Linked DNA regions of Notamacropus eugenii. The protein of the gene in region 1 binds, or shares a complex with, the protein of each later gene. Links are inferred from orthologs where the notes say so. Each region holds a gene or a part of one and is shown on either strand. Other genes may lie near its edges.

The links.
Region 2: the proteins of LATS1 (region 1) and NF2 are in contact, whole or in part, in a crystal structure (PDB 7LWH), measured with the Homo sapiens proteins. The link is inferred for Notamacropus eugenii from reciprocal best matches to the Homo sapiens genes LATS1 and NF2. Residues at the interface, in NP_004681.1 of Homo sapiens: Pro69, Lys70, Phe71, Gly72, His74, Ala77, Leu78, Glu80, Ile81, Arg82, Ser84, Leu85, Phe88, Ala89, Asn90; in NP_000259.1 of Homo sapiens: Pro135, Glu136, Ala137, Val139, Leu140, Tyr144, Asn175, Leu176, Tyr177, Gln178, Met179, Met183, Trp184, Arg187, Trp191, Glu206, Ile210, Asp213, Leu214, Glu215.

What each region holds. Positions count from the first base shown.
Region 1 is NC_092873.1:241,727,719-241,744,039, forward strand, and holds the start of LATS1 (serine/threonine-protein kinase LATS1), read right to left. Parts: upstream 8,117-16,321; 5' UTR 7,983-8,116; coding exon 7,632-7,982; intron 557-7,631; coding exon 406-556; intron 1-405. UniProt on the Homo sapiens protein: Negative regulator of YAP1 in the Hippo signaling pathway that plays a pivotal role in organ size control and tumor suppression by restricting proliferation and promoting apoptosis.
Region 2 is NC_092875.1:16,047,462-16,063,813, forward strand, and holds the start of NF2 (merlin), read right to left. Parts: upstream 7,211-16,352; 5' UTR 7,110-7,210; coding exon 6,996-7,109; intron 1-6,995. UniProt on the Homo sapiens protein: Probable regulator of the Hippo/SWH (Sav/Wts/Hpo) signaling pathway, a signaling pathway that plays a pivotal role in tumor suppression by restricting proliferation and promoting apoptosis.

The DNA.
Region 1 (16,321 bases):
AATAATAATAATAAAAATAAAAAATAAAAAAGAATTGCTATGCTGAAAACAATCCATTGCCTAGGTGGTCAATATTGTAATAATGAGCCTCTCTGGACCCTCAGATGAAAGACATATAACATCACTGCCAGGTCCATACTCACAACTTAAATTCCACTGGTACTGCCTTTAAGAACTCAAGGCCATCTCTGTGCCATGATGAGAGATTACAGGAGAATTTAATAGAGAAAATTATAATAAAATTATTCTAAATCAAGCTTATTAATTTCTAGAATTACAAAAAATAATTTATTTTCTAAAAGCAAAGAAAAAACTTAAAACAAATACTTATGTGGTAATGGAAGCTACTTGATTAGCTTACACTATAATGAAAAAATACAGAGAAAAATGTCTGGATGAACATACCTGGTGGTTTTGGGCCTGCATTAACAGGTCTTGCAGCGGCTGCAGCCATCTGTTCTCTTCGACTATCTTGGTAACTCATTTTGCTAATGAATTCAATTGCCGCTTCTATACTTTTATTATTAGTTTGTCGAAGTGCTCGTATAACCATATCCTAGAAGGAAGTTTACAAAAAGGGAAAAAAATCAACTCTTCTAAATTGCTGAGAACAAGTATATTGTCTGAGACCTCCAAGATACGACCTAAATTTCAAACACAAGAACCTAGTCATAGAAAAAAGTCTATTTAAAAAACTACATAATCTCATAATTCAAAAAAATTCTTGAACTACATTTGAATTTTTTGATATCACTTGTTAATTATCTCGTAAAAAGAACTGCTTTGTAACTTAAATATCATTATTGCTTTTATTTCATGTACAGAGAAACAAGATCTGTGATTTTAAAAATATGGTTAACTTTCAGTATGGTAATTTCCTCTGTCACATTCCCAGACTGGATTTGCCTGGAACAAACAGAAGTTAAGTAGCTTGGTAAGGTGGACACTCAGTAAGCTGGTATAGGTGTCAGATGGTGGATTTTAACCCTAATCACTTTGTTAACATATGTAAAAACATAATGTAGTTAATAATAGGATTTCAAAATGATAATTCAGCCTACTCAAACGTTTTCACAGAAGTAAGGCATTTTCATTAAACACCATTGCTTTGATCAAATGCTATATTGCTTCACCATCAAGAACATTTATTAAGTGCTTAACTGCACAGAGCACTATACCAAGGGAACTACATTGATTTGGTTTGTGTCCTCTTGGAGCTTATAACTTAAAACAAATATGCTGATATCGTTATACATAAAGGTATAAAGACAGTAGAAGAAAAATATGAAGATGATGCACTGATAAGCAATTTAGGGGCAGCTGAGAAAATACATACTGGGTGGCCAAAACTGAGGAGTTCAGTCATGGAATTTTCATATTTAAATTGAGAGGCATGAGTCTAGGACACTGGATTAAATTCTGAAAGATATTTGAAGACCATCAAGGTTAAGTGCCTTTTCAGATCTCTGTTTTACATATCGGGAAAATGAAGATCAGAGAAATTAATGTCTTATTTCTAATTCCTGTCAGAGAGAATGAAGAATCCTTGTTCTAACTCAGAGAGATAGTCTAATCCTCTCCTCACTTCCCAATGACGCTATGCCACAACCTTCCAGACCCCCTGCCCTATTAGTAGATACTGCAGCTCACACCAACTACTATCTTTCTGAAAGTGTGGACGGGAGAACAAACATTTATATAGCACCTAATGTGTACTAGGCACTCCACTAAGCACTCTATAAATATTATCTCATTTGAAGACTTCGAGGGTCTCAATGTATACCCTGCCACTATACCCTCAAGAAATGTGGATGCTGCTATATGACTTGCTGAGGACCCCTGGGTCTTGCCATGTACTTCACTACTGAACTTTTAGAAATTCTGAGCCTTGCCATTTGCCTGGCAGTTGCAACTTAATTTAGGTGTAGCTAAAAAGATCAAATGAGATGATACTGGTAGAGCACTTAGCATAGAGTTGTTTCCTTCCTTCCTTTTTTCCTTCCTTCCCTTTCCTCTTTTCTACTGCTTCTTACTGTGTTATGAAGAGGACAATGCCTTTTCATTTTGTTTATTTATTCATTTAATTATTCATTCATTAGGTGACTTGCCCAAGTAAATGGCAGAGCTGGGTCTTAAATTTAAGACTGATTCCAAATCCAGTGCTCTTTCTACTTTACCAGAAGGCAGATACTGACTGTGACTAATAGAGGTATGTTTGCTTTACCTACAATCTAAAGGACCTTTGCAGCAGTGAAAATAAAATTTTCATTTTTTGTTTTCCTGAACTAGACAAACACCAAAAGACATGAGTATTTTCACATATAAGAGAAAGAAGATTTCATAAGAAAATGTAAGTTACTTAAGACTATTTTTAAAAAATTATGTAACAAATTCAATATGTTGGTTTCAAAGCTGTGCTACTGAACTTTCTTTTGTTCTTTTCTGGGCATTTAAAAAAAGTTTCAATGACTTTTTTCTTTCCTGGAGGGCATCACTATCATTAGCTAATGTACCTTCCAAATTAAAAGAAAACAAAACCCTTCCTCAGCAAAACAAATTCATATATTACTCATGTCTGAAAATGTGTCTCATTCTGTATATCGAGTAGTCTATGATTTGTCAGGAACTTAACAGCACACTTCACCATTACGTGTTCTGGAGTTGATCCCTGAATTGATAAGAGGTCCTAAATTTTTCAAGGCTGCATTTCTTTACAATGATATAGTCATTATATAAATTGTTCTCCTGGTTCTGTCACTTCACTTTGCATCAGTTCATATCAGGCTTCCTAGTGTTTTCTGAATCCATCTTTTTCACAGCACAACAATTTTCCATTACTTTCAAACACCATAATCTATTTGGTCCTTCTCCAGTAGATATGTATCCCCTCATCTTCCAGTTTTTGTTAAAATAACAAGTTCTGCTATAAAAGACTTTGTAAATATAGGTCCATTTCTGTTTTCTGTGATCTATCAAAATCAAATATCATTCAGTTTAGTACTTTTTTGGAAACAGTTTCAAATTGCTTTCCAGAATGGCTTAGAACATAGCACCAATAGTGCATTAGTATATCTGTCCTCCAACAAACCTTTCAAAGAAATGTAATTTTTCTTTTTCATCCTCTGTCAATTTAATGAGTATGAGATAGAAACTCAGAATTATTTTAAGTCATATTTCTTTTATCATAGTGATTTGGAGCATGTTTTAATATGCTGATAGCTTATATTCCTTCTTTTGAGAACTTCCTATGTATTGGGGAATGGCTTCTGCTTTTATATATTTGCATAAGTTCCCAAAATAACTTGAATATTAGTTCTTTCTCAGCTAAAATTTTTTTCCCCAATTACCCATTCCCTTTCTAATTTTAGCTGCATTAATTTTGTTTATACATAAGCTTTCCAGTCATTAAAAGCTGTTCATTTGCTTTCCTTGTCTCTTGTTTGGTCAACAACTCTTCCCTAATATATAAATATGAAAATATCTCGTTCCCTGCCTGTCTATTCTATTAATATTTAGATGTTAATAGAAATATTTAGGTACTGTATTCATTTGGAGTTTATTGTGAAATATGGTATGTTGATCTAAACCTAATTTTCTGCAGACCAGATTCCAGTTCGCCCAGCAGTTTTTGTTGAAATATTGAGTCTTTACTTCACTGAAGATTTAATTTACTCAGGTTTGGGGGCAGGGAGAAGTAAAAAACAATGCTACCATATTCATTTGTTTCTTGGCTCTTATATTGTATGTCTATCTGGTCCATTTTCCCATTTTTAACCAGTACCAAAAGTTTTCATTATTAGTGCTTTGTAGAATAGTTGGAGATCTGGTACTGCTAGGTACCCTTCCTTGCCACTCTTTTTTCATTTTTTCCCTCTGAATTTCTTGACTTTTTATTTCTCCAAGAGAATTTTATTTTTTCTAGTTTTAAAAAGCAACGCTTTGGTAATTTGATTTTATATGGTATCAAATAAATGAATTCATTTAGGTAGTAGTCATTTTTATTGTATTGGAATGGCCCAATCATAACCAATTAATATTTTAATAGAATTTCTCTATCTTTTACAGTTGGGTTTCCCTTTTTGTTGTTCATATACAGAAACGATGATATCTGGGGTTTTTTTCCTGAATCTTTTGGGTTCTCTAAGTAGACCATTAACATTTGTAAAAAGTGACAACTGTTTCTTCTCTACCTATATTTGCTTCCTCAGTTTATTTTCTTTTTTGTGTTGTTATAGTTTGCATTTCTAGCACCATATCAAATAAAAGTGGTGATAAAAGTGGGTTATCTTTGCTTTACCCAGATTGTGCTGGTAAGACCTCTAGCTTTCTTCAATTACACAATAATCTTCATTGGCTCTTTATTTTATAGCCAGTCTACTATTTACCATATTATGGAAAGGCCTGCTTATTCCTTTGACTTAGAGTGGGGTTTTTTTGCTTGTTTTTTACAAAAGGGAGTTTTTTGTTAAAAGCCTTTTCCGCATCTATTGATATAACCATGTGGTTTTTTTCTTATTAATACAGCTTATTATATTTATAGCTTTCCTACTAATGAACCAACCCTGCATTCCTAGTAGAAATCCAATATGATCATTTTTAAAATTTGTTTTTAATTTTAATAAAATCTTTTCAATTTGTTTCTGTGAACCATATGTTAACATTATCCTCAATAGTTTTTTTGAAATTCATTAGGAATGAACAGTTTATTCTGTAGTTTTTTTTCTCTGCTTTTTCTCTCAAGGTTAGAAATCAAGGCCTTATTTTTAAATACAGAAAGAATTTGATAGCATTTCTTCTTTTCCTATTTGGGCAAACAATTTACATTATATTGAATGCACTGTTCTTTGAACATTTGGTAGAATTCACTTGTAAATCCATCTGGTCATGTTTTCCCCCCTTTTGGAGTTCATTCATGGTATGTTCAATTCTTGCATAAGATTGGATCATTTAAACTATCTATTTCTTGTTCTGTTAATTTGACTATTTTTTTTTTGCTAATATCCACCCATTTCATTTATGCTATGAGTTTTGTTGGCATATAAGCAAAATAGTTTTTAATATTTTTATTTCTCCTTCATTTGTTATGGAGCTTCCATTTTCATTTTTTATTAATGTGGATTTCCTCTCTTAAAAAAAATCATACCAGCTAATGTTTTGCCTTTTAAAAAAATCTCCCCCCACAAAAAATCCCTAGATTTTAATAAACTCTGAATTTATTGATTCCAATTTTGTTAATTTCTTACTTGATTTTCAGAAATTCTAATTTTTGTGTTAAGTTGAAGTTTCTTGATTTGTTGCTTTTCTATTTTTAAAAAAATGTATGCCTACTTTACTGATCTGTTCTTTCTCTCTTTGGTTGATGAAAATGTTCAGAGATATTAATTTTCCCCTAGGGATTGCTTTGGCAACATCCCAAAAGTTTTGGCATGTTGTCTCATTATAGTCACTTTCTTTGATGAAAAAGTATCTATTAGTTCTATTATTTGTCCTCTGATTCATCAATTTTTAAGAATTAAATTATTTAACATCATTTACGTTTGGCTCTTTTCTTCAAAGACCTTTGTGTTATGGTCCATAACGCATGCATTTCATATTTACAATTTTCCATACTGCTTTGAGATTTTTATATGTGAGCCAGGAGTTGATAAACTACGTACAGAGCGCCAAATCTGCATCCTCCTCCAATTTCCCCTGCTTAAAATGACTTTTACATACTTAAATAACTTTATTTTAAAATACAAAACCAGTCTTAGCCCAGGGTGGTATGAAAACAACTAGCAGGTTGGCTTTGGCTTGCATGCTGTAGTTTGCTGAGCTGTTGCCTAGTATGTGGAAAATTTTGCTACACACACACACACACACACACACACACACACACAATGAATATGCTGATATGTGTATCAAATATACATATAGCTGAGATATGCATATAATCTTTTTCATTCCTACTCAGTAATTTTTGCCAGAGATCTATGATATCTAATTTTTCTTAAATTCTATTCATTTCTTAACTTCTTTCTGGCTTATCTTTTTTGGTCAGATCAGCAGAGTTTGGAAATGGGTAGCACAGTGTAGACCTCAACCATTTAGTTTTGTTATCTATTTCCCCATGTACTTTAGTCAAATTTTTTTTTAAAGACTGATCAGATATGTGATTTTATACATACATTCTCTTTCCCAGCAATACTCACAAAGGAGAACCTGAGATCAATAGAGTCTTTTTATTGCTTTTTTCTTTAGTCCATCATTCTGGAATTAAAAATGCACTGTTCTGGAGATGCCTATTACATCAATTACCTAATTCATAAAATTCATTCAAAGAAAATATACATCTAAGTTTTTGTTTTAATCTTCAATACTTCAAAAACTATTAAGTATGAAATGTTTACAAAACAGCAATAACAACTGAACAAATAGCAAGTAGAATAAACTACTTTTCCTCTGTAGTTTCATTATAGACTTTACAAGCTTTCTATTATTGCTGTTTTCCTATCTTTTTTCCTCTTCTCAATTAATCAATACTTAATGATTTTGTTTTTAAAAGGAAAAATCACTTCTTGACTATTTAATTACAGATTATCTAGACAGATAGTGACTATCTATGGTCAAACTCAATATAACCTCTGTATTTTACCCCCAAAGTTTCCAATTATAAAGTGTGTTATTAGGAAAGAGAAGAAAATTTAACAGCCTAAACAAAAGATAAATAGGTCTATCAAGGAAAAGACACAAAAGAGATTCTCAGTACTAACAATAATGTATTATATAACATCTGAATTAGCTATACTATTTTTATAGATAAGACTGAAAGCTGTCCATCAATGAAAACCTACAGTCCTCTAGAAGTGAACATATCATCATCCTTCCCACTGCCATTCCCCTATAGAGACAGCTATTTCTACTTCTATATTGGTTACCTAGCTCATCATCCTACAGATTCACTCTCCTCTCTAAAATACTATACTGAGTATTTCTGACTCCAGACTCTGTCCTTTGGATTCCCAGGCCACTCCAGGAAAGGGAGAATAAGTTGTGATTTTTGTGGTTTTTTTATTGTACTTAGACACTAAGGTGGTAGGCTCATGTAAATGAATAAATGGTATTAGGACTACCAGAAATTTTTGTAGGTGACATAAAAAAATGTGTGTATACACATACAACACATCTCAACCAATTTTCGTGCTTCAGATTCAAATCACTTCTTTATTACTTGGTGGTAGAGCCTGTGTTTAGAAAACAAAGCAATCTAAAAATCAGTATTTAGCATGACCTATACTTAATTTTGTAAAAGCTGGTCTCAAATCCAGCTTTGAATCCTGCCCCTAATATCATGGCTATTTAACCCTGGTCAGGCACTTAACTTCTCTAAGCTTTAGACCAGGACTCAGTAAACCACTGGCATAGGAATTGGGCCAGATTTGGAATGTGGAATGTATTTTGTCATCTTCCACTCTAGGCAACTCTAAGACTGTAAGTTGCAGAGAAGATACCAACCTTATTGATATAAGGTCTTTCCTATCTGGGATTTTTCCATATTAATGAAATCACAGGTCCAGTGCCTATCCTTATCCTATAGTAAATCTTGGGTCTAAATAAATGAAATATTCTATAGTGTCATTAAAAGTTCTTACCTCATCAAATCCAGCAATTTGCATATCTTGTAGCATTTGTCGATTAACTTCTGATGCACTCCTGGTGGATGAATTGGCTTCATTTGCAAATGGGAGTAGAGAGTTTCGTATTTCTTGCAAAGCTTTATGATATGTCACAAATTTGGGTGGATTTCGGCCTTGTCGAGGATCTTCAGTTGTCATTTTGCTCATATTATGCTCAGCTTTTGCAGCATCTGATGGTTTAGGTAAATTCCTAAGAGACTCCCGTATTTCTTGCAACATTTGCCTGCTACTGCCAGTGTAGTTACTGGCAGGAAAGGTCTTAGGCCTCATTTGTCTATACCCTTCCGGCTTTTCACCTCTCTTCATGAAAACATCTATCTGTATAACCTTCACAAAGGATTCACTCACACAAATACTTGTCAAAGCTACTTGGTAGTTTCAGAATTCTCTCAAGCAAAAGATGAAAATAGTACTTCACAAAACATTGAGGTCTGCTGGATTCTTTACTGCTGAAATGATTCAACTCTGAAAATGACAGAAAATTACAGCTATAATTGCTTATAGTGAAAAGAACGCTGAATCTAGTCAGTAATCTCCATTCACCTAATGAATTATTATGTGGCTAGAAAAATCGCAAGCTCTCCATACTTCATTTTCTTTATTTTAAATGCTCAGAAATGTTGCAAGGATCAATGCGTAAAAGAACTTTGAAAAATATAAGATATTATACAAATACCAGGGATTATCAATAAATTTGCAGTGTAATAATACAGCCAACAAATGATTATTAAGTGTACTGTGCTAAGCAGTGGAAACAAATACGGGGGCAAAAATATTCCCTGCCCTCAAGAAGCTCACATTCTAATGGAACAGACAACAGGTAAATAATCAGGTAACACAAGATATATACAGGGTAGATAATCAACTAACCAATCTATAAACATTTGTTAAGCATCTACAATGTGTCAGGTACCGTGGTAAGTGCTAGGGATAAAAAAAGAGGCAAAAGACAGTCCCCCGCTCTCAAAAGAACGTACAATTTAAGGGAGAGAGAATATAAAAACAAAAAAAATATTTATAAAGCAAGCTGTATACAGGATAAATAGGAAATGATTAACAGAGGGAAGGCATTGAATTAAGAAGGGGTGGGGAAGGCTTCCTGTAGAAGGTGAGATTTTACTTGGGACTTAAAGGAAGCCAAGGAGGTCAACAGCCAGAGTGGTGAAAGAGGAAGAGCATTCCTGGCATGGAGGACAGCCAGAGAAAAAGCCAGGATTCCAGAGATGGAGTGTCTTATTTGTGGAATAAACAGAAGGCTGGTATCACTGGATAGAAGAATATGTGTTAGAGAGTAAGGTATAAGAAAACTGAAAAGGTAGAAGGGGGTTAGCTTATTAAGAATTCTGAATGCTAAACAGAGCATCTGGTACTTAATCCTGGAAGTAACAGCAAGCCACTGGAGTTTACTGAGTAGGAGGGGGAGGGGATAAAGTGACTTTAAGTTTAAGAAAATTACCTTAGTGCCTGAAGGGAAGATGGACAGACTTGTAACAGGGAGACCAGGTGTGAGATGAAGAGGGCCTATACTGGAACAGAGGCAGGATAAGAAGAAAGAAGGGGGCAAATTCAAGAGACACTGAAAAGGTGAAATCAACAGGCTTTGCCAATAGCTTTGATAATGGTGATTGAGAGATAATGAGAAATCCAGATGACTCCTAAATTGAGAGCCTAAGGGACTGGAAGGATAGTGTTGCCCTTTATAGTAATAGGGTAGGTAGGAAGAGGGCAGGGTTTAGAGGGGAAGATAATGAGTTTGATGTTGGACATGATGAGATGAAGTTGTCTACTGAACATCTAGTTTGAGATGTCTGAAAGGCAGCTGGAGATGTAAGGCTGAACCAAGTCAGCAGAGAGACTGAGGCAGGAAAGAGGTCTGAGAATTATCAGCACAGAAATGGTCATTAAATCCATGGGAGCTACTCAGATCACCAAGTGAAAGAGGGTGAAGAGAAGAGGAATCAGGGCAGCCTGCTGTGGGACACTTTTGGGGAGAGGGTGTGATCTGGAGTAGGATCCAGCAAATGAGATAGAGAGTGATCAGGCAAGGAGGAGGAAAACCAGGAGAGAGTAGAGTTTTGACAACCTACAGAAAAGAGTCTTCATGAAGAGAGAATGATCATGTCAAAGGCTGCAGAGAGGTCAAGGAGAATAAGCATTGAAAAATGGCCAAAGAACTTAGTAAGTAAGAGATCATTAGTAACTTTGGAGAGAGTAGTTTTGGCGGAATAAAAAAATCAGAAGCCAGATTGTAAGATGTTAAGAAAAGAGTGAGGGGGGAAAGAGGAGCACTTACTATAAATGGTCTTTTCTTTGAGCTGAGCTACAAACGGATGTAATATACAGAATACAGTGATGGAAGGGCCAAGGGAGGGTTTTTTCAGGATGAGGGAGACATGAGCATGTTTGTAAGCAGAAGAAAATGAGCCAATAGAGAGGGAGAGAGGGAAAATAAGCCAAAGAATGGGGATGACAGAGGTGGCAATCTGTTGGAGGAAATGGGATGTAATGGGATTGCTTGAACAAATAGAGGGGTTAGCCTTGAAGGAGTAAGGTCTTATCATAGGTGAAAGATAGGTGAAAGAAAAGTGGCATGACACCTAAATAATAATAGATGAGGAAGTGGAGAGAAGAGTTCATAGTGAATGACATTTTTTAAATTTTTTTTTAATTTTTAGTAAAATATGGGCAAGGTTCTCAGCTGAGAGAGTAGGGATTAGAGGGTATGCGAGCCAATTTGAAAAACCTACTGTGAATAGTGGGGCAGTGAGTTGATAAAGGAGGTACAGCAGGACTGCCTACTGTAGGCCTGTAAGCAGAGAGGGCCCAGGTGAAGTTCAGAGAAGAAAGCACTTGGCAACTGGAGAATGGAGTATGAAGGGACATCACTAGAAAAGGCAGAAAGTGGGATGTGAACTGAGTCTTGAAGGAGGCCAAGGAAATTAAAAAGTGGGGTAAGGTGGAATGGTATTCCGGGGGGGTGGGGGTGGGGCTAGATATCACAGTGTATTTTTAATGTATTTATGCATAATGGGAAGATCTTTCCCATCCATAAACAGGCTCATCTGACCTGCTTGAGTCACATGGAAGCCTGAGTCACATGAGTCTGTGGTAGGAGGAGCTTGCCAAAAGGGTGGAATAGAGCTGAAAGGAAGGCAGACACAGCAGTTAAGAGCTGAGGGAGAAAGAGGAAGTAGGCAGCGTGCAATGAGTGTTTGTTTGTGGGAAAGCCCTAACAGGGAAGGCTTGGGGATGGTGGTGTCCTCTGCATTGTTAGTGAGCATGGATTCCTTTACTGCTATGATGGATTTGGCTTTCTGGTGTTTAAATAATTGTTTTGGTTTTGTCTTTCTATGTAGAGAATGTGTTATATTTTGTGATTCTGAATTTTACTGGCATATTCATAGCCACTGTAGGCACTGTGACTATCACAACATTGCTATACACAGTAGATAAGGGTGTTAAGCCTGGAGTCAGGAAGTCCTGAGTTCAAATCTATCCTCAGACACTTAGTACTTATGAGACCTTGGGTAAGTCATTTAATCTTATTTGCCTCAGTGTCCTCACCTGTTCAATGAGGATAATAATAACTCCTATCTCCCAGGGTTCTTCTGAAGATCAAAAGGGATGATAAATGTAAAGTACTTAGTATAGCGCCTGATACACTAAGTCATTTCAGTCATGTCTAACTCTTTGTGACCCAATTTGAGGTTTTCTTGGCAAAGATACTGGAGAAGTTTGCCATTTTCTTCTCCAGCTCATTTGACAGATGAGGAAACTGAGGCACACAGGATGAAGGGACTTGCCCAGGGTCACACAACTAGTAAGTGTCTGAGGCTGGATTTACATTTGGGTCTTCCTGACTCCAGGTCCTGCGTTTTATTAACTGTGTCACCAAGCTGCCCTGGAACACAGTAAGCACTGTACAAATGTTACCTCTTATTAGCCGTTATTATTCTAAGAATGAGAGACAGCCAGTGCAAAGGCACAGAAATAAAGAGATGGGAGGGTCATATGCAAAGAAAAGAAAATTAGTCAGTAGAATGGATTGTAGAGTATGTGAAGGTAAAAAAGAGTGTAAGAAGACCAGATAGGAAGGGTCCAGGTTTTGAAGAGCTTTAAATGCCAAAGTACAGAACTTTATATTTCATTCTGGAGGTGAGGAGGAGACTCCAGAGTTTACTGAAGAGGGAGAGTAACAAAGTACCATTTGTTATCTTTATGTTCAATATAGACACTTAGCAACATCACACACAGTCAATTCTCATCATCTATAAATTCACAGCAAAAACAAAATTAGGGAATGCTGAACCATTTCTCCAAAGGAAACTACAGTATTCGGTTCCTGTGAACCTCTGGTCACATTTATTTTGACACTTTTGGAAGTGGCCTCACCTACAGATGGACAAAATTCCTCTTCCTTTTTCTGGATGAACCATCTTGTTGATTCATTGACACTGAAGTCACAGTCAACAGCACCGTAACTCATGCCTGAATGAACTTTATCTAAAACATGTATTTTCTCCAAAGGCATATGAAAGCTTTCTTGTGCTTAGGAACATTAGAGAACACCGCAGCAGTATGGTTGGGGGCCATTTTAAACAGCAAAATCACTACCAAAAAAAAAAAAAAAGGCTAAAAATGTGGCACTAAATAGATTGTGTAAGTTTATAGCATGAGAGCTGAAATTAGAAAGCAGAGCAGCTCCGTGTTGGACCTCAAGTAGGCTCATGCACATTGTGCTACTTAAATTTTTTGCTGCTCTGCACATGTATCGATTTCATGATTACAAATATGTTTTAGTGAATAGGAACATAAAAAATGGATCTTTCTTTAATATAATAAGTAGTACCTATCTAAAACTAAAAGTGTTAAACTAGAGGCCTTTCCAATAAAATCATGGGTGATGCAAGGCAGTGGTAGTAAGGCCAACTCTAGCAATAAGACAAGAAAAGACAATTAAAGGAATAAGCACGAAGAGCAAAGAAAATAATTGCTTTTCACAGATGACATAATAGTTTATCATCAGCATTTCTATGTATCACTTACAAAACCCAGCAAGAAAAGATATAGAAGTCCCATTTAAAACAACAACACTATGTAAAAGACTTGGGAATGAACCTGCCAAGAAACACAGAGAAAGTATATGAACTATTTTCTAAAAACCCCAACTTTATAAAAATACAGAATCAAAAAAATTGAATAAATACTAGTTTCTCATGAGTAGATCAACCCATATAACATCAATGATAATATTAGTTAATTTTTTTTAGTGTTATGCCAATTAAACTTCCAAAGCATTACTTGATAGAGCTAGGAAAAATAGTAACAAAATTCATTTGGAAAAACAAAAGGTTAAAAATCTCAATGGAGGGGGGCGGAGCCAAGATGGCGGAGTAGAAAGAGGCACATACACATAGCTCCGAACCCACAACCTACAGAACGGCTAGAGGGGAGTAACTCACGGTGAATTCTGCCCCCAGAGGCCACGGAATATTGGAGCGAGGGAGATTTCTGTTCCGGAGAGACCTGCAAACCTCTCGCGGGGGGTCCTTCGCGCTGTGGACTGGGCGCCGGGACTGGGAGCAGAGAGCAGCCCTGCAGCGGCCGCGACACCATGAGGAAAAGATCCAAACGGGCTACGGGGACAAAATATCCTGTGGCCACGCGGGTCCCTCCACCCGCAGGTGACGGGGGTCGGTGAGAGAGTCTCTTTGGCAGGTCGAGAGGGGAGTGGGGTGCCCCCATGATTCGGCCCCCCCCCCCCCAGGTAGAAGCTGAGAGGTGGCTGCAGACAGGGGCTCCCCAAGCGGGCGGGAGCCTGGATCCTCTGTGGAAGGTCTGTGCATAAACCCCCTGAGGGAACTGAGCCTGAGAGGCAGCCCTGCCCCGACCTGACCACCTGAACTTAATTCTCACACTGAAGAGCAGCCCTGCCCCCACCAAAAGCCCTAAGGCGGGAAGCAGCATTTGAATCTCAGTCCCCAAACGCTGGCTGGGAGGACCAGGAGGCGAGGTGGGTGTGAGGAGAATATTCAGAGGTCAAGTCACTGGCTGGGGAGAATGCCCAGAAAAGGGAAAAGAAATAAGACTATAGAAGGTTACTTTCTTGGAGAACAGGCATTTCCTCCCTTCCTTTCTAATGAGGAAGAACAATGCTTACCATCAGGCAAAGACACAGAAATCAAGGATTCTGTGTCCCAGCCCACCCAATGGGCTCAGGCCATGGAAGAGCTCAAAAAGAATTTTGAAAATCAAGTTAGAGAGGTAGCGGAAAAGCTGGGAAGAGAAATGAGAGGGATGAAAGAGTAGCATGAAAAGCAGATCAGCTCCCTACTAAAGGAGAACCAAAAAAATGTTGAAGAAATTAACACCTTGAAAACTAGCCTAACTCAATTGGCAAAAGAGGTTCAAAAAGCCAATGAGGAGAAGAATGCTTTCAAAAGCAGAATTAGCCAAATGGAAAAGGAGATTCAAAAGCTCACTGAAGAAAATATTTCTTTCAAAACTAGAATGGCACAGATGGACGCTAAAGACTTTATGAGAAAGACATATCACAGAACATAGCGAGAAGATTGGAAAAATGGAAGATAATGTGAAATCTTATTGGAAAAACAACTGACCTGGAAAATAGATTCAGGAGAGACAATGTAAAAATTCTGGGACTACCTGAAAACCATGATCAAAAGAAGAGCCTAGACATCATCTTCCATGAAATTATCAAGGAAAACTGCCCTGAGATTCTAGAACCAGAGGGCAAAATAAATATTCAAGGAATCCACAAAACACCGCATGAAAGAGATCCAAAAAGAGAAACTCCTAGGAACATTGTGGCCAAATTCCAGAATTCCCAGGTGAAAGAGAAAATATTGCAAGCAGCTAGAAAAAAACAATTCAAGTATTGTGGAAATACAATCAGGACAACACAAGATCTAGCACCCTCTACATTAAGGGATCGAAGGGAATGGAATAGGATATTCCAGAAGTCAAAGGAACTAGGACTAAAACCAAGAATCACCTACCCAGCAAAACTGAGTATAATACTTCAGGGGAAAAAATGGTCTTTCAATGAAATGGAGGATTTTCAGGTTTTCTTGATGAAAAGACCAGAGCTGAAAAGAAAATTTGACTTTCAAACACAAGAATGAAGAGAAGCATGAAAAGGTGAACAGCAAAGAGAAGTCATAAGGGACTTACTAAAGTTGAACTGTTTACATTCCTACATGGAAAGACAATATTTGTAACTCTTGAAACATTTCAGTATCTGGGTACTGGGTGGGAGTACACACACACACATGCACACACGCACACATACATAGAGACAGAGTGCACAGAGTGAATTGAAGAGGATGGGATCATATCTCAAAAAAAAAAAATGAAATCAAGCAGTGAGAGAGAAATATTGGGAGGAGAAAGGGAGAAATTGAATGGGGCAAATTATCTCTCATAAAAGAAGCAAGCAAAAGACTTATTAGTGGAGGGATAAAGAGGGGAGGCGAGAGAAAATCATGAGGTCTACTCTCATCACATTCCACTAAAGGAAAGAACAAAATGCACACTCATTTTTATAGGAAAACCTATCTCACAATACAGGAGAGTGGGGGACAAGGGCACAAGCAGGGTGGGGGGGAGGATAGAGGGGAAGGCATGGGGAGGAGAATGCAATCCGAGGTCGACACTCATGGGGAGGCAAAGGATCATAAGAGAATAGAAGTAATGGGGGACAGGATAGGATGGAGGGAAATATAGTTAGTCCTATACAACACAACTAGTATGGAAATCATTTGCAAAACTACACAGATTTGGCCTATACTGAATTGCTTGTCCTCCAAAGGGAAGGGGTGGAGAGGGAGGGAGCTAAAGAAGTTGGAACTCAAAGTGTTAGGATCAACTGTAATGTTCTCACCACTAGGAAATAAGAAATACAGGTTAAGGGGTAAAGAAAGCTATCTGGCCCTACAGGACAAAAGAGAAGACGGAGACAAGGGCAGAGAGGGAGGATAGAAGAGAGAGCAGATTAGTCACAGGGGCAATTAGAATGCTTGGGTTTGGGGGGGGGAGGGGATAAAAGGGGAGAAAATTTGTAACCCAAAACTTTGTGAAAATAAATGTTAAAAGTTAGATTAAAAAAAAAAATCTCAATGGAATGAAAAAAAAAGTGAGAAGAGAGGGATACTAACTATACCATATTTCAAACTATATTACCAACCAATAATCATCAAAATAATTTGGTAATGGGTAAGAAATAGGTTCTTCAGATTAGGCACACATTTTTTGTTCAGTCATTTTCAGTCACATCTGACCCCATTTGGACTTTTCTTGGCAAACTATGCTCAAGAAGTTCCTAAATTGTGTACACCCTTTGACCCAAGCAACACCACTACTAGGTTTAAATGTCAAAGAGATAAAAGAAAGAGAAAAGTGACCTATGTACAAAAATACAGCAGCACTTTTTTGTGGTAATAAAAACAGAAATTAAGGAAGCACCCATTAACTGGGGAATGGCTTAACAAATTATGGTATATGAGTGTAAAGAAATTCTATTATGTTCTAAGAATGATAAAGAAATCTAGGAACATTTGTATTAACTGATCCAAAATGAAGCAAAAAGAGAACGATTTACAGAATAACAACTTTGAAATATAGAG
Region 2 (16,352 bases), on another chromosome or scaffold:
AAATAGAATGTCATCAATAGACTTGGAGAATGAAGCTCTAAAATGCCATATAGAGTTCCCACAGCCATGCCCACCTGTCACCTGGATTGCTGCACAGCCTTCCCATTAGTCTCTGCCTCCAGTGTCTCCCCCAACCCCCACCCCACACACACACTGATGCTAAAGTGATTTTCCTCCAGCCCAAGTCTAACTACATCATTTCCCAAACCCACCAGTTCCTTACTTCCTCTAGAATTAAATAACAACTGCTGTGTTTGGCATTTAGAATCCTCCAAACTATCTGATTGTACGTGACTCATCTTCACCCACTTAATAAATGTTCTCTCCATCAGCACCTACCCTTTCCTCCTTGTTTCTGTCTGTGTTTCCTGGGGCCCACTACTAGAACATACAAGGGCTTCACAGAACCAAAAGCAGTAGGTGCTTTAGCTTGGCAAACTTACAGGAAGGCCTCACCAAATGGTTTAACCAGAGGCATTTCTGAGAGCAGAGGGAAAGGCCAGAGCAGCATGAAAAGGGCTGCATCCATTCCCTAAACTGGGCCAGCAACTGACACCTACCAAACAGAGGTAGTTCTTCTAACACACACATACACACATGCATGTACACACACAGGTACACTCTCACACATACATGCACACACACTCACACATGCGCATGCACTCACACACATATACACATACACTTTCACACGCACACACACTTACACATGCACACACACGTACACACACTGAAGCCAAGACCAATACTAACAAAGCAGGAAAGGCAAGAATGGGGTAGAATGTGTAAGGCATATAATCAGAGCAGCGCTTAGAGGATCTCCTGGCCTTTGGGCCATGACAAGAAGAAGAATTGCACAACACATAACAGGAGACCACTCCTAGGACTAGCACAGCTTCACACCAAGCTCTGACTCCATGTATGAAGCAGAAACTACAGCGATGTTGTCCATTTGGGAGGGGACCACCAGGGTTCAAATCCTGGCTGTGTGACCCTGTTCTATCACTGCTCGGGGCACCGTGCTCCTCACCTGTAAAATGAGGGGCTGGGATGGATGACTTCTAGGGTCCCTTCCAGCCTAAATCTCTAACCCAGGATCCAAGCAGCTCTGGGAGGCTGAAGAGGACAAAGCTCGAGGTTTCCCTCCTCTGAGCTCACCTTTCCACTCACTTGGAAGACGCCTCAGGTGCAAGGTTATTGTTGTCCATGTCTCCACCACTTCAAGAGCAGAGGCTGTTTTTGCCTTTCTCTGTACCCTCCAGGGTTAGCACAGTGACAGGCACATGGTAAGGGCTTAATAAACTGGAGGTGAATGACAGCTTTATAAGGGGTAAGGGCAATAGGCAGGAAGGTACCAATGGCTGCTGACGTGCACCATCTTCCTTCCCCAGCTCTATTTCCTTTTTTCCTTCTCAGCCAACGCCTAAAGGGCAGCCAAAGGTATCCAGGCCACCTGGGGTGAGGTATATCCATGGGGCTGGGACTCAGAATAAAGCAATTCCAAAGAAAATCATGAGAGTTCTACAAGAATGTTATTTGAATTTTGCAATTAAACTCCTTGTTGAAAACACCCGATTTTTTGTATTTAATAAGAATGCATGTGTGGAACCTACATAGGATTGCATGCTGTTTCGAGAGGGAGGGGGGAGGGAGGGAGAATAAATCTAAGATATATGGAAGTGACTGTAAAAAACTGAAAACAAATAAATTACTTAATTTTTAAAAAAAGGAAAAAGAAAACGCCAGATTTTTGTACCAGAAAGAACATGAGATTTGGAAGGTTGAAGTTCAAATCTTGGCTTTGCCACTTAATAGCTATGCCCCCTTGAACCAGGCACTTAAACCTCATGACGCTCCTTTAACTTGTTACTTATTAACGCTAGGTGTTCTGGAGTCCTGGATGATTCTGCCCCTTTACAACATGTCTTACGTGTAGGGGTAATCCACAGCCTGAAGTTTGATTGCATCTCCTTTGGAACAGAAAGCCCAGCCAACATGCCAAAGCAGGTCTACAGTCTGGGAAGCTCTTCAAACTCAATTTGGAGAATTCTCAAACGTTGGCCCTTTCTTGATTAATCATTGGAGAAAAATTCTGAAGAAGGGCTATTTCCAATTACTGGCAAAATGATGAGCAGCACCTTATTTCTCCAAATGACTAATACCAAAATAATAACTCTTCCCATGTATTTCTCCAAAGCAGCAAGCTAAATGTGCAAAGTGACTCAAGGACAAACAGGAGGCCAGGGAAGTGGAAGGCTGGGCCCTAATTCTCTTCATGAAAGTATGAACTAGTTCGAGTCCTCTGAATCACACACTACTCATACTGAAATGTGATCCTTCTTAGAAAGCCACCTCCGCCTAACCTCACCTGGCCGAGAATCCTTCTCGTTCAAGGCCATCGGCCAGAGAATTATCCCCTGCTCTGGTCATGTAGAACAAGCAAAAAGTTGACCAAGTTCAGAGCACGCTCTGTTATCAGGCATCACTCAACAGCTTTCAAACTGACATCCAACAGCACTTTGCAGACATATTTCCACTAGCAATCTCAGGATGAAACAACTTGTCAAACCACAGAAGCCTAGTCTCTGTCTAATTCATGAGTTCTTAATCTTTTTTAGAGTTTCGGACCTCTTTGGCAGACCCTTCCCAGAGTCCTATTTTCAAACGCATCAAATACAATACAGAGGATTACAAAGGAAATCCGTTTATTAAAATAAAAGTGTAATTCTCCTGGCCAAGTTCATGGACCCCTAGAAATCCACCTACTGACTCCAGGTTGAGAATTTTGGGCTCAATGAAATCTGCTACTCTAAAACAAATTATTTAAAGAACATTCTGCTCTTAGAATAAAAAAATTGCAAGAGTCCTTGGAGGTCACTCAGTCCAACTTAGACACGGGTCAGGAAGGTCCTCCCTAACAATTCCTACAAGCCGATGATGCCTCACTATCTGTAAACAGCCACTCCTGCCTTTCTAAGGGTTCCTGAACTGGAACTGAGCCACAATGGGCTTCCTTCAAGGGCCTCTCAGGAGCTCTCACTCTGCCTTCTGAAGACTTGCACAAGACGATCATTTAATATCCGAGGGGAACAGTCAAGTCTCTTCACGCATGACCACTCTGTGCCCCTCGCCATCGTCGCTGGGTCCCCAAATCTGGGATCACTCTGAGATGTGCCAGTCAGTGGGAATGGCCCTTCCAGGATATTTTCTTCCCACCTTCAGGTGTCAACTGTACTTGAGGGAGAGCACAAGGACAAAGTTCAAACACTTCAAGGAGTGAGGGTGGTTTCACTGAAGGAATTCTGTCACCCTGCCACCACTCTAAGCCAATGGTCTTCCAGCGTCCACAGGGCCAAAAACCTTAGCGCTCTGTGGCCAAATCTGATGGGCCTTTCTTAGCTTGGTTGGGTCTCAGGAAACAGACAGACAGACAGCCAATCCATCACGGGGGCTGGTGCCTAACAAAGCCTGCACTTCCCTGGAATAGCCTGAGAGCCCATGGTTATCCAATCAATCAATCAACATTTATTAAGTACTTGCTTCATTCCAGGCACTTTCGAAAAGCATGAGGATACAAAAAAAAGACAAAAGACAGTGGAGCAGATGGTCTCATGGGGGAGACAACATGCAAACAAACACATGCCAAGCGAGCTACAGAGGACAAATAAAATATGATTAACAAGGAAGGCCCTGGAATTCGGAGGGCTTGGGGAAGGCTCTCTGTAGAAGAAGAGATTTTAGTTGGGACTTTAAGGGAGGTCAGTGAGCTGGGTGGAGAAGGGAGAACGTTCCGCACTATGAGCAGGGTTTTAGTACAAGGAAAACAAACGTTTCATGGAAATAACTCCTCTTCCCTTTATCTCAGTCCAACTCTAGGCTAAAATCTCTCACCAGATTTTTAATGTTGAGTTTTCATGATTATGATCACTTGACGAACATACAATAAATGACTGCCATATGGAAAGGCAGCGTTGGGCAACAGCTGGAGAGACAGAGACCCAGACGTTGCCTTCAAGGAGCTTAATTTTTTTCCCCAAAGTACCTCAGTTATACAATTTCTGACAAATGAGGTACATGACACCATTCTCTATCTGTACGGCATCCCCTCCAAGATATGAATGTTATACGTAAAACTACAAAGAAGAGTTCCCGCCTGGATACAGCTGCTGGGGGGGGAGGGGGGGGGGCCTGCCTGCTGCCAGTCTATCTCTCCCCAATCTGATCTATCCTCCATTCAGACACCGGAGTGATCTTCCTAAAGCACAGATGCCACCCACAACCTGGTCCCTTACTAGAGCCCTCCAACAAGTACTCAGCTATGCAGGGCCCCCAGCCTCCTTGGCATTCCTCTCCCACAATGCTCCAGCTCCCAAATCCAAACATTTCACTGGCTGCCTCACCTCCCTGGAATGCTCTCCCTCCTCATCTGTGCCTCCTGGCCTCCCGGGCATCCTTCAAGTCTCAGCTCCTCCTCCCCAGAAGCCTTTCCTTCATTGCTGCTGTCTGCCCTCGGGGGTTTATCTCCAATTTAGCCTGTTCTACAGCTTGTTTGCCCCCAGTTGTCTGCCTGTTGTCTCTCCTTTGAGGGCAGGGCCTGTCTTTTGCCTTTCTTTGCATCTCCCCTGCTTGGCCCAGTGCCTGGCATGCAGCACATACTCATGCTGTGGGCTGACTGGACTGCCAGCTTCTCCCAGGTCATATAATGACTAAGCCCATTAACATGAGCTTCCAAATTCAAAGTTCGCCTGTGGAAAAACCACCTTCACATGATATGAGACACTGGAAGATGATACACAAGACTTGTACTCTCCTAAAGTGGCCTTGGCCTTTGCAAAGACTACTTGGTCTGGGCCATTAGACCCACTCCATTCAAGCTGATTCCCTATTTCCAAGCTAGAGCCAAACAATCCTCTTTCACACCCTACAAAAAAAATTACCATATACTGCTCACTATAATAATTGCTAACATTTATACAGCACTGTGTGCCAAGCATTGTGCTAAGAACTGTTTACAAATATCTTATTTAACAACCCTGTGAGGTAGGTACTACTATCATCACCAGGTGGCAGCTAGGGGCCACAATGGATACAGTGCTGGCTCTAGAGGCCGGTTCAAAGCCAGCCTCACACACTTACTAGCTGTTTGACTCAAGGCAAGTCACTTAATTCTGTCTGCCTCAGTTTCCTCATGTGCAAAAAGAAGGGCTTGGACCAGATCACCACTAAGGCCTCTTCTAGCTCCACAGAGCAGTATGGCACGGTAAAAAGAGCCCTGAATTTGGGAATCCAAAGCCAGTTCCAGTCCCGGTTCTGACACTTACTAGCTCTGTGACTTCCTTTATTGTGAAGTGAGGGGGCTGGACTAGGCAGCCTCTAGCTGGAGGTGTCAGGGGGCAACGTGGCCCAAACACGTGGACTCCACCCATGCTTGACCCTGCAGTCACCTAGTCAAACAGCACAAAGTGAGGATGACTTGATTGGCCCAGAAGGGAGTGTGCCAAACACCTCACTGACCTAAAAGCTCCCCAAGGGTGTCACTGTTACATTCTCTCCTACCCAAGTCACCCTGACTGGGTCAGCTCTCCCCCTCCCCCCTTCCCCTCAGCCCCCTGGCCTTTCTGGATGCCTCACTCCATGCACTCTGGGCAACCAGTAGGGCCCTGAACAGGACCTACCAATGCTGCCCCCTCACCTGCCTCTCTCTCTTTACAGAAGAGGAAACTAAGGCCCAGAAACGCCTTGCCCCAGGTCACGCAAGTAACCAGCAGCAGAGTCTGGTCCTCGGACCCCCAGTCCAGGGCTGTCTTTACTACAGCCCAGCTCTCCTTCCCCTAGAGGAGCAACAGGGTCCCCACCCTAGAGGGTCTTCAAGCAGAGGGAGCTGCAGGCTCCAGGGTGGTCGCTTGTCACGTATGGGGCAGTCTGGGTGTCACTGAGGTTCTAGTCAACCCTTCAAACACTTTACACAGTATTTACAAATACTCCAAATGCAAACACACGTCTGTGCATCCCTCATGGAATGAATGTTAGCTCCCAGAGGCCAAGCGACTTTAGCGATCCAGGGCAGGAGACGTCCGAGCCCCAAGTCAAGTGCTTTCTGCATCCCACAGTGCTGCCCCCCACACACACATCCACCAGACACATTCACAGTGTGTATGTACGTACGTATGTCTATACACACGCATGCATCCGTACACATCCGTACACACATATATTTGCATGTATACATCTATGTGCTCATATCCTTCTGTATGGACAGCCAGGTGGCACGGTGGATAGAGCACCAGGATTGAATGTGGAAGACTCATGTATGTGAGCTCAAATCTGGCCTCCAACACCCCCTCACTGGGTGACCCTGGGCAAGTCGCTTCACCCTGCTTGCCTCAGTTTCCTCACCTGTAAAATGGGCTGGAGAAGGAAATGGCCAACCTTTCCAGTATCTCTGCCAGGAAACCCCCAGTGGGGTCGTGGAGGGCGCATTGCTGAAAGGACTGACCAGTGCCAACATGCTTACGTAAACATGCACAGATACTTACACACTTACACATACATGTTCACATTACAAATCCGGGTATGATCATACATACTGATGCTGGGCGTGCATCGGTACTATGTGGGCACCCACACTCAGGGGTACTTGCTAAACTTCACCCCCTGAGCTGGCACACCGGGCACGGAACGCACGAGGGATCGGAGGGGCAGAGGCAGGAGGCCGGCCTGCCCGAGGACGACAAGGCCGGGGTGCGGTGGTGATCGGGTGGTCACCTGGGGCGGAGGACACTGAGGCCCCCCGGCCCGGCGCGCGGCAGGCTGCCCGCCCCGCCTCAGGTCCGCCTGGAGGGTCCGGCCCGCCGGCCCCCTGCCGCGCGGAGGGCTCCGGCTCCGGGGACACGTGGCCGGCGCCCCCGCGTCCCGCCCCCTGGCGGGCGGGGCTCCTTCACTCGGGCGGGGTACACACGAGGCGCTCAAGCAGTGCTGGCGGACGGGCGAGTTACCTCGCAGTTGAACTCCATCTCCGCGTCCATGGTGACGATGCGCACGGTGAACGTCTTGGGCTGCTTCCTCTTGAGGGAGCTGAAGCTCATGCGCGACGCGATGGCCCCGGCCATGGCAAGGCCCCGGCCCCGGCCCGGCCCGGCTCAGCCCACAGGCCGCCCAGGCCTCAGGGCCGCCAGGGCGCCTGCGCGGAGCCGGGGGGCCTCATGGCGCCTGCGCGGAGCCGCGTGGCCTCGGGCCTCGGGGCCCCTGACCCCGGACCCCGGGCCCAGGCCGGCCGCCCACCCCGCGGGGCCCGAGGGCGGGGGCGGGCCCCCTCCGCGGTGGGCGGCGGCCGGAGGCTGGCGCTCAGGACTTCGTGAGGCCCAGAGGCTTCGCCACGTTCCGCTCCCGGCGCTCCCGTCCCGCCTCGGAGGAGCCGCGGCCGAACGGGCACGCGAGTGAGTGAGGGGAGCGCGCGCGCTCCCGGGGGCGCTCGGGTCCGGGCCCAGTCCGCTCGGCGCGCGCCCTCGGCCCGTAGCCTGAGGCACTGGCGGCCCACCCAGCCCCGCTCCGATTGGTCCGACCTCCCCTCTCCCGCCCCCCACCCGGTGGAGGCGGGGCCTAGCCTTCGGCCACGCCCCCTTGAAGAAGGCTGGCCAGTGGCAAGCTGGGTCTCGCCGGCGCGTAAGGCCGGACTCGGCGCTGAGTGGTCGATGCGGCTGTCGCTCGGGCCGCCTTTGTTGCCGGGTTCCTCCTCCTCCTGCTGGAGCGCTGGAGAAAGCCAGCTTCGACTAGGGGCCCGCTAGGAGAGGCGGGGAGAGGGTGGGGGCGTGGCGGTGACGTCACTGAAATGTCGCGGAGGGGCGTGGCATAGCGGAGCCAGCCTGTTCTGCAGGTGCTTCGTGCGCGGGTGGTTCCCTGTGCCAGCCTCACCTCCATTACCGCTGCTACTACCACTAGCCTTCTTCAGGTTTTCCTGGCAGTGGTGACAGTGGGCAAACTTATTGGTGAGGAAGGAGAGGAGGAGATGATGTTCCCCATCTGCTGTCATATCCCTCTTGTCACCCCCACTTTATAGACCAGAAAACCGAGGATGGAAAGGGTTAAGGGGTTTACCTGTCCGAGGCAGGATTGGAATTCAGATCCTTATGACTCCAGGTTGAGCACTAACGGGTCAGCACAGCCAGCACCCCGCTCTGAGAAGCCTTCCCCGCCCCACGGAAGTGCTTCCGTGTCGTGCTTGTGAGTACACGTGTGGGGTCCCCCAGTAAAAGGCAAGCTCCTTGAGGGGAGGGGCTGGACCACTCGTTGTGTCTTTGCGTCTGCACCCGGGTGGCACCACAGGGCACACACTGCGGATCCTGGAATTAGGAAGACTTCCTATTCAAATGTGTGACTAGCTGTGTGACCCAGAGCAAGTCACTTAACCCCGTTTGCCTCAGTTTCCTCATCTGCAAGAGGAGCTGGAGTCTTTGCCAAGAAAACCCCACATGGGGTCATGAAGAGTCAGACACAACTGAAATGACTCAGCAGGAACAAAGCACAGCACCTAGCCCAGGTGGGACAAGCTTAATACATTTCTGGTGAATTAAATTGGAGTTTAGCTCTTGGCTGTGTGACTGCTCAGATCTTTTACCCTCTTTGAACCTCAGTTTCCTCATCTGTGAAATGGGGGGACCAGTCATTGCATCCCGTACTTCACAGAGTTATTGTGAGGAGACAGCCCTTTGTTGACCCCATGCTACAAAATGTGAGTTGTCATTTCCTGGGGAATGCATCCTAAGTACGGAGATCCCCATACAAGAATGAGATTACTTGTCTGAGATTGTAGTTTTTACCTCCAGCTTCCTAACTGGTCTCCTTCTAGTGGCTCCATATTCTACAAGTATTAATAGCCCTAAATATAGACCTGACCGTGTAACTACCCTGCTCAAGAAGTTGCAGTGGCTTTTGCCATTTCTTTCTCCAGCTCATTTTACAGATGAGGCAAACAGTGAAGTGACTTGCCCAGGGCCACACAGCTTGTAAGTGTATGAGGTCAGATTTGAACTCAGGTCTTCCTGACTCCAGGCCTCTTGCTCTACCCAGCGCACCACCTTGCTGCATACATATACCCACACACACACCCCCACACACACACATCTTATATGTAAGTAATAATAACAGCTAACATTTATGTAGTGCCTGAAACAAAGCACTTAAATACAATGCACTTTACATACATTATCTCATTTCCTCATAGCTGCGTTTCTATCCCCTTTATACTGTTGAGAAAACTAAAAGAGAGAGAGGTGAAGTGACTTGCCCAGGATCACGCAACAAGCAGGTGTCTGTGGTAAGATTTCAGCTCAAGGCTTCCTAACTTCAAGGCCAATGTGGTATCTGCAAAGCCACCTCATTGCCCTAGTTATCTGCATGTTGAGTGTCAGGGCAGGGCAGGGACTGCATTGCTTTAAGCATTATAAATAGCGCTTCATAAATGCTTGCTGACTGTCTGGCTTGGGTGGGTCACAGATGGGCCTCTAGGTCCTCAAGTGGGGCTCTTTGACAGGTTCCCCACCCCTGACCTGGCTCGTCTTCTTTGGGGACAAGCTTGGTTACTGCGACTCCATGAGGTTCAATCTCTGCTCTTTTGTTCTTTCCATTTATGTTTTGGAAGTCAGTGTGTCCTGCTCTCCTGGCCTGAGACTGCAGAAAGGTTAAGGACAATGAGAATTGAGAAAAGGCCATTTGACTTGGCAATAAAGGGCTCTAGTAATTTTGGAGAGAGACGTTTTGGAAGCTGGATTGGAAGGCTTTAAGAAGAGAATGAGAGGAAAAAAAGTGGAAGCCCCTGTTAGAAGAAGGCCTTTTTAGCCACAAAACACAGAAGAGACATAGGATGATAGTGAGGATGGAAGGATTAAGTAGGGTTTTTTTTGGAGGATGAGGGCGACATGAACATGCTTATAAGGCAGTAGGGAAAGAACCAACAGACAGAAAGAGATTGAAACAAAGTGAAAGATTGGGAGTGACAGAGGAGGAAATCTTTTTTTTATAATATTTTATTTTTTCCCAATTATGTGTAGACAATTTTTAGCATTCATTTTTACAAGATTTTGAGTTCCAAATTTTTCTCCTTCCCTTCCCTCCCCTCTTCTTAAAATGGTAAGTAATTTGATATGTTATATATGTGCAAAGATGTAAAACATATTTCCATATTAGTCAGAGTTGTGAAAGAGGAAATAGACCAAAAGGGAAAACCATGAAAAAAAATAAAATGAAAAAAGCGTGCTTTGATCTAAATTCAAAGTCTATCAGATCTTTATCTTTCCATCAAGAATTCTTTGTAATTGTCTTGAATCATTGTGTTTCAGAGAAGAGCTGAGTCTTTCATAGTTGATCATCACAAAATGTTGCTGTTACTATGTATAATGTTTTCGTGGTTCTGCTCATTTCACTTCACATCAGTTTGCACAAGTCTTTCCAGGTTTTTCTGAAATATACATTGGTTCTTAGTATTCCATTACATTCATATACCACAACTTGTTTAGCCATTTCCCAATTGATAGGTATCCCCTCAGTTTCCAATAATTTGCCACCATGAAAAGGGGTGCTATAAATATTTTTATACATGTAGGTCCTTTTCCCTTTTTTATGACTTCTTTGGGATGCAGATTTAGTAGGGGTATTGCTGGATCAAAGGATATGCACAGTTTGGTTGCCCTTTGGGCGTAGTTCCAAATTCTTCTCCAGAATGGTTGGATCCATTCACAACTCCACCAACACTACATACATTAGTGTCCCAATTTTCTCACATCCTCTCCAACATTTATCATTTTCTTTTTTTGTTATATTAGGTAATCTAATAGGTGTGAGATGGTACTTCAGAGTTGTTTTAATTTGCATTTCCCTAATCAAAAGTGATTTAGAGAACTTCTGTGACTATAGATAGCTTTGGTTTCTTCCATCCATTTCAGAGGGGAAAATCTTATGGAGAAGATGGGATGGGGTTAAGGTCACTTGGACATGTAGAGGGATTAGCCTTGGTTAGGAGTAAGAAGATGGAAGGTCTGAGATCAAAGGAAAGGTTGATTTACTGAAGGTCATACACAAGATCATGGGAGAGAGCTCACTATATAGTTCAAAACTCTCATTTTATAGATGAGGAAACTGAGGCTCAGAAGGGAGAAGGGACTTCATGGGTCATCAATCTATAGGTAGAAGGGGGTCTCAGAAGCCATCTGGTCCAATGTGCTCATTTTATGGATCATGAAACACAGAAGGGAAGTAACTCACTCAGAGTCACCCAAGGAGTAAATAGAAGAGTCAGGATTTGAACTCAGGTGCTGGAGTCTATTACTGGGATGAAATGAACTTTGAAGAAACCAGTCAATTGGAAAGGAATAGTTTCAGAGAATCTTGGGAAGACTTGTATGAACCGATGCATAGTGAAATCAGCAGAACCAGGAGAACAATTTATATACCATGACAGCAACATTGTAAAGACAAACCACTTTGAAAAACTTAAGGACTTTGATCATTGCAATGATAAGCCACAACTCCACATGACCAAGGATGAAAATACCCTCTTCCTCCCAGAGAGGTGGGATCAAGACTGAGCAAGACAGAGGGATCAAGATGCAGAATAGGACATACATTCTTGGACATGGACAAGGTGGGGATTTCTTTTGCTTGACTTCCTATTTGTTATTTGTCATTTTTTTTTCAGAGGAGGGAGTTAGGGAGAAAAAACAAAATTTTGTCAACTTTTAATTAATAAAAAGAAATAATGAAAAAGTAAATGCTGAAAGCAACAAGCCTTTTATTTGTTATGTTTAAGGGAGGGCCGTTTGGCTTAATTGGATCATCCCAAAGGTACCCAAAAGATAAGGCAAATTCAACCAAGTCATCATACTAGCATACTAACAGTTCCCCATCCATGGGTCAAGATCGACTCCTCAAAATAAGACTGGTCAGGGTAGAGAAGGTTTACAGCCAGGAATGGCCAGATAGTCTTTACACTAACAGAATTTTATTGTACTGGTCTCTAACCTAGGAATGTCCAGAGACAAAACAGAGCAGGTCAGAGGTGAGTGTGCCAGCAATCAAGTAGCAGTTAAATTAATTTCAGAGGGAGGAACTCAGTTTGCAAACCTGAAGTTCTAAGAACAAAAGCTTATCATGCTAGAATAAAGTCAGAGCTTATTTACATAGATCACAAATGGGAAGGGTTGGGGGAAGGTGGATCCCAACATAGTCATTTCTAGGTCTTGAGCGATTTCCTAAGGCAAATCCACAAGTGCAGGCAATGCAGGTGTTCTTGAGTTCTGTGAGAACAGTTCTTAAGCTGATGGCCTCAAATCTTGGGGGTCGTGATTTCTTGGTAGGGCACAGAACCAGTATTCTGTGACGGGAACAGGTTTTACAATCTCTGATTTGCTTCACTGAAGGTACACAGGCGCAGGAATGTAGGAATTGTCAGAGTTGATGGATCATTTTAAGCTGCATTGTGAATCTCTTGACTTCCAAGCCAAAATCTGCTGGGGAAATGGGAGCTCTAAGATATCCAGATAGTATAATCGTTACACATCATATCCAAAATGTCCTCTCAAGAAACTGTGGCCATGATTTGGTCTATGGGCATACCTACCTCTCTGTCCCTGGGACTCCTGGGTCCAGTTTCACTTTGTGCTTTAGAGTAGCTCAGGAATCAGGGCAGGGGTTTTAGAGGGATGAGCAGGGATCCCAATCAGGGATCAGGCAGGTGAGGTTAATCTCTCCCCCCCAACATCCAGGAAACCAAATGTTTATAGGTTGGAAGCCTCTAAGCATAGAAAATCCAAATGTGGAGGAGGGAGGAAGTAGAAAGTGTGTTCCAGAAAAGGGTCAAGGCAGGAGAGTAGACCTCCAGCCAGGAGGAGGGAGAATGGCTAGGCCACGGAGGACTTGTGGGATAGACAAAGATCAGAAATGAAAAACTGGTTTTTCCAGTTTCCTTCATCAGGCTTCCTAATTCCAAATCCATGTTCTTTCCACCATACCACACAGGGCAAATATCAGTACCCTGATTTTTCAGTTGAAAAATCTGGAGCAATGAAAGGCAGAATAACAATTTTCACTCAGTCCATCAAAGCACATATTCAGTACCTACTTTTTGTTAGACATGTTCTAGGCACCATAGGCACAAAGACAATACAAAATAGTCCCTTTCTTCAAAGAGTTAGTGTTTTACTAGAGAAAGCCACATGGGCTCTTCCAAACAAGACAATTGTTGGAACCCCACCTGGTCTTTGTATTCTAAGACCAGTGTCCTTCAAACTTCCTACAGTCAGACTGGAAAGTCCTCTGGGACAGGAATGTCTCTTCCCTTTGTATCCCTAAAGACTCAGCACAAGGACCTGGCACAAAGTAGGTGCTTGATAAATGCCAGTTGACTTGACTACAAACCACACTGTCTCTTAGACAGAACACCTAGGAGCGTTTTTGGCCACCTGGCCTGAGATGGCGTTGACTCATCCCTTGATTGCTGTAAAGACCGTGTGTTCATTTCAGATTTTGCCACCATCAAGCACCATATTCGCTTTGATAAAGCAAATGAGTGAATATGAATACTTCCTGCTCTCAGAAGATTCACATAAAGAAAAAGAAGAGACAGCTTAGAATAATAAAGGACTGGTCTTGGAGTTAGGAAGACCTGGGTTCAAGTCCCACTCTGAAACCTTCTGGCTGTGTGACCCTGGACAAGTCCCTGAACCTCTGAGTGGTCTATCCAGCTAAGATCCTAAAGACCAAAATAGTTCCTCATCTACATTGGAAGAGGGAGCTGCTTCCCCTTCCCCTTCTCAAATGAAGTAACAGACTTCAAACAAAAACCATGGAATTCTCTGTTCTTTTCCTTGGTAACCAGGAGATTCTGGCCTTTTGTGCTTCATCAGATGGAATCTAGCTCTTGCCAATGGCGTGAATGTCTGCTGTGTGCTTGGAGCACCCAGATGAGGCAAAGACTGCTCAAAGGATGTCACCTCTAGGATAGAATATAAGCTCCTCTGGTTGGTATTTAAATTCTTGTAGATCCTGACTCCAGGCAGTCATGAATTGGCCTTCCTAGGGATCACTCCAATTCTGAACTTCAACCAGCTAGACCTGTTCTTCCTCATACATGACATCCCATCTCTATGCCTGAGTCCCCCCCTCCCACTCAGAGCCAGTAATGCCCAAATTCCTACTTTCCTCTTCAAATATACCTCCTCTATGAAGCCTTTCCTGATTCTCCCCAAGCTGCTAGCTCCATTGCCTTGTATTTATTACATTGGGTGTGTGTGTGTGTGTGTGTGTGTGTGTGTGTGTGTGTGTGTGTGTGTGCGCGCACGCGCACGAGCCTGATGGACCTAGTGTCAGAAGACCTGAGTTCATACATCCTCAGACACCTACTAGCTCACATTTCAAGTAACGGTAATTACTAGTTACTTACTAGGTAACTAGTTTAGTTAGTTAATAACTAGGTAGATAATGGTGACCTCCTAGCTCACATTTTTAATTTTTTAAAAACTAACCTCAGTTTCCTCATATGTAAAACAAGGAATAATGATGCCTACTTCCCAGGGCTATTGTGACAGTAAATTGAGCTAATATTTGTAAAGCTCTTTGCAAACCTTAAAGCACTAGCTTATAGTATTATTATGTGTATAATGGTAGTTTTTATTATTCTGCTGACTCCCCTTATGGAATGTAAGTTCCTTGAAGGAAATGGCTGTTTAAATTTGTACTCATATCCCTAGTACCTGGCAAACACTAGGTGCTTAATAAATGCTTAGTGATTGATTGACTGTACTCATATTCGTTATTTGGTGTACGTGAGCGACAGAGAATGACGTGTCATGTAGAGAAACTATGCTAGCATATTTTTTACCTTCTCTTTCACGTGCTTAAACAGGCCCATTGTACTCCTATCACTGCTTTACATTCCTAGAGGGCCCCGTAGCAAATATCTGCCCAGGATGAGAATGGTTTTATGGCCCCTGTGTTCAGAGAATGTTTGATAAAGGTTCTCGCAGACCCAGGCGAATGGCCTGGAACAAAGATAAGCTGTGCCTTCACTCCTGTTTGGCTAATCATTGCCTTAGGGACGTTGAGAAGTATGTTGAAGGGCAGTGGTGTATTGGAGGAGATATGGTGAATGCTCACCAGAGTACATGAAAGATGAGGCTTTTTGTCTGTGTAAGGGTTTGGAAATCTGCATGCTCACCTCCTTCTGTTAGCATCTCACCAGCAGAATCTGTGGCCTCTAGTGCTGGTGTGGTCAAAGATGGGAACAAGTCTTCAGATGGATGAAAGGCAGAAATGTGGTCTAGGAAATATATCTGTGTTCTTAGTGCTCCCTCTTCATCTACCCAATCAAACAAAGCATTTATTAAGTACCTCCTGTTGGCTAGATACTGTTCTAGGCACTTTAAAGACTATGTTCTGCTGGGGAAAGCAACATGTGCACATATAAGCAAGACCTCAAAAAATTGTCAAGAAGTTATAAGTTCTGTGCCTGGATTGACTTCTTTTTCTGGTATGCTTGCAGATTTGTCATGACTAACATCTTAGAGAGCATTTGCTATGAAATGGTGGGGAATAGGCAGGAGAGAAGGTTCATCTCTCCAGCCTCCTTTAAGGCTCTCAAACCAGAGGTTTACTGTGAAAAGTACCAGTGCGAGAAAGATGAGTTGGAGGAGGAAGGAACCAGAGAAAGTTTCAGGGAGAAGATCGCATTTGACCTGGGCCTCAAAGGATGGGAATGATTTCGACAGAGATGGGGTATTCCATCAGCAAATATACCTGAGACAGCAAAGGGCAGAATGAATATCAGAGGAAGGAAAAATCCCATTTGATTGAAGGAGTGGGAGAGAATAAGCATTTATGTAGTGCCTACCATGAGCAGCTGGATGGCTCAGTGGCTAGAGCACTGGACCTGGGGTCACGAAGATCTGATTCAAAGGAAGACACAAGACACTTATTAGTTATGTGACCCTGGGCAAGTCACTTTAACCTCTATTTGCTTCAGCTGACTGGAGAATGAAATGACAAACCACTCTAATGTCTTTGCCAAGAAAACCCCATGGACAATGATCCACAGGGTCGTGAAAAGTTGGACATGACTGAACAACAATATGGGCCAGTTATTGTGCTAAGCACTTTATAAATATTATATCTTTTGATCCTCACAACAACCTTGCAAAGTGTTATTATCTCCGTTTTACAGTTGAGGAAACCGAGGCAGACAAATCAAGTAACTTGCCCAGGATAACTTTGCTAATGTTTAAATATAATCACATGATAGGATTATTGACAGAGGCAGAGCTGAGAGAGATGTTGGAGAACATGCACTAAAGGGTCACACAGTTGGA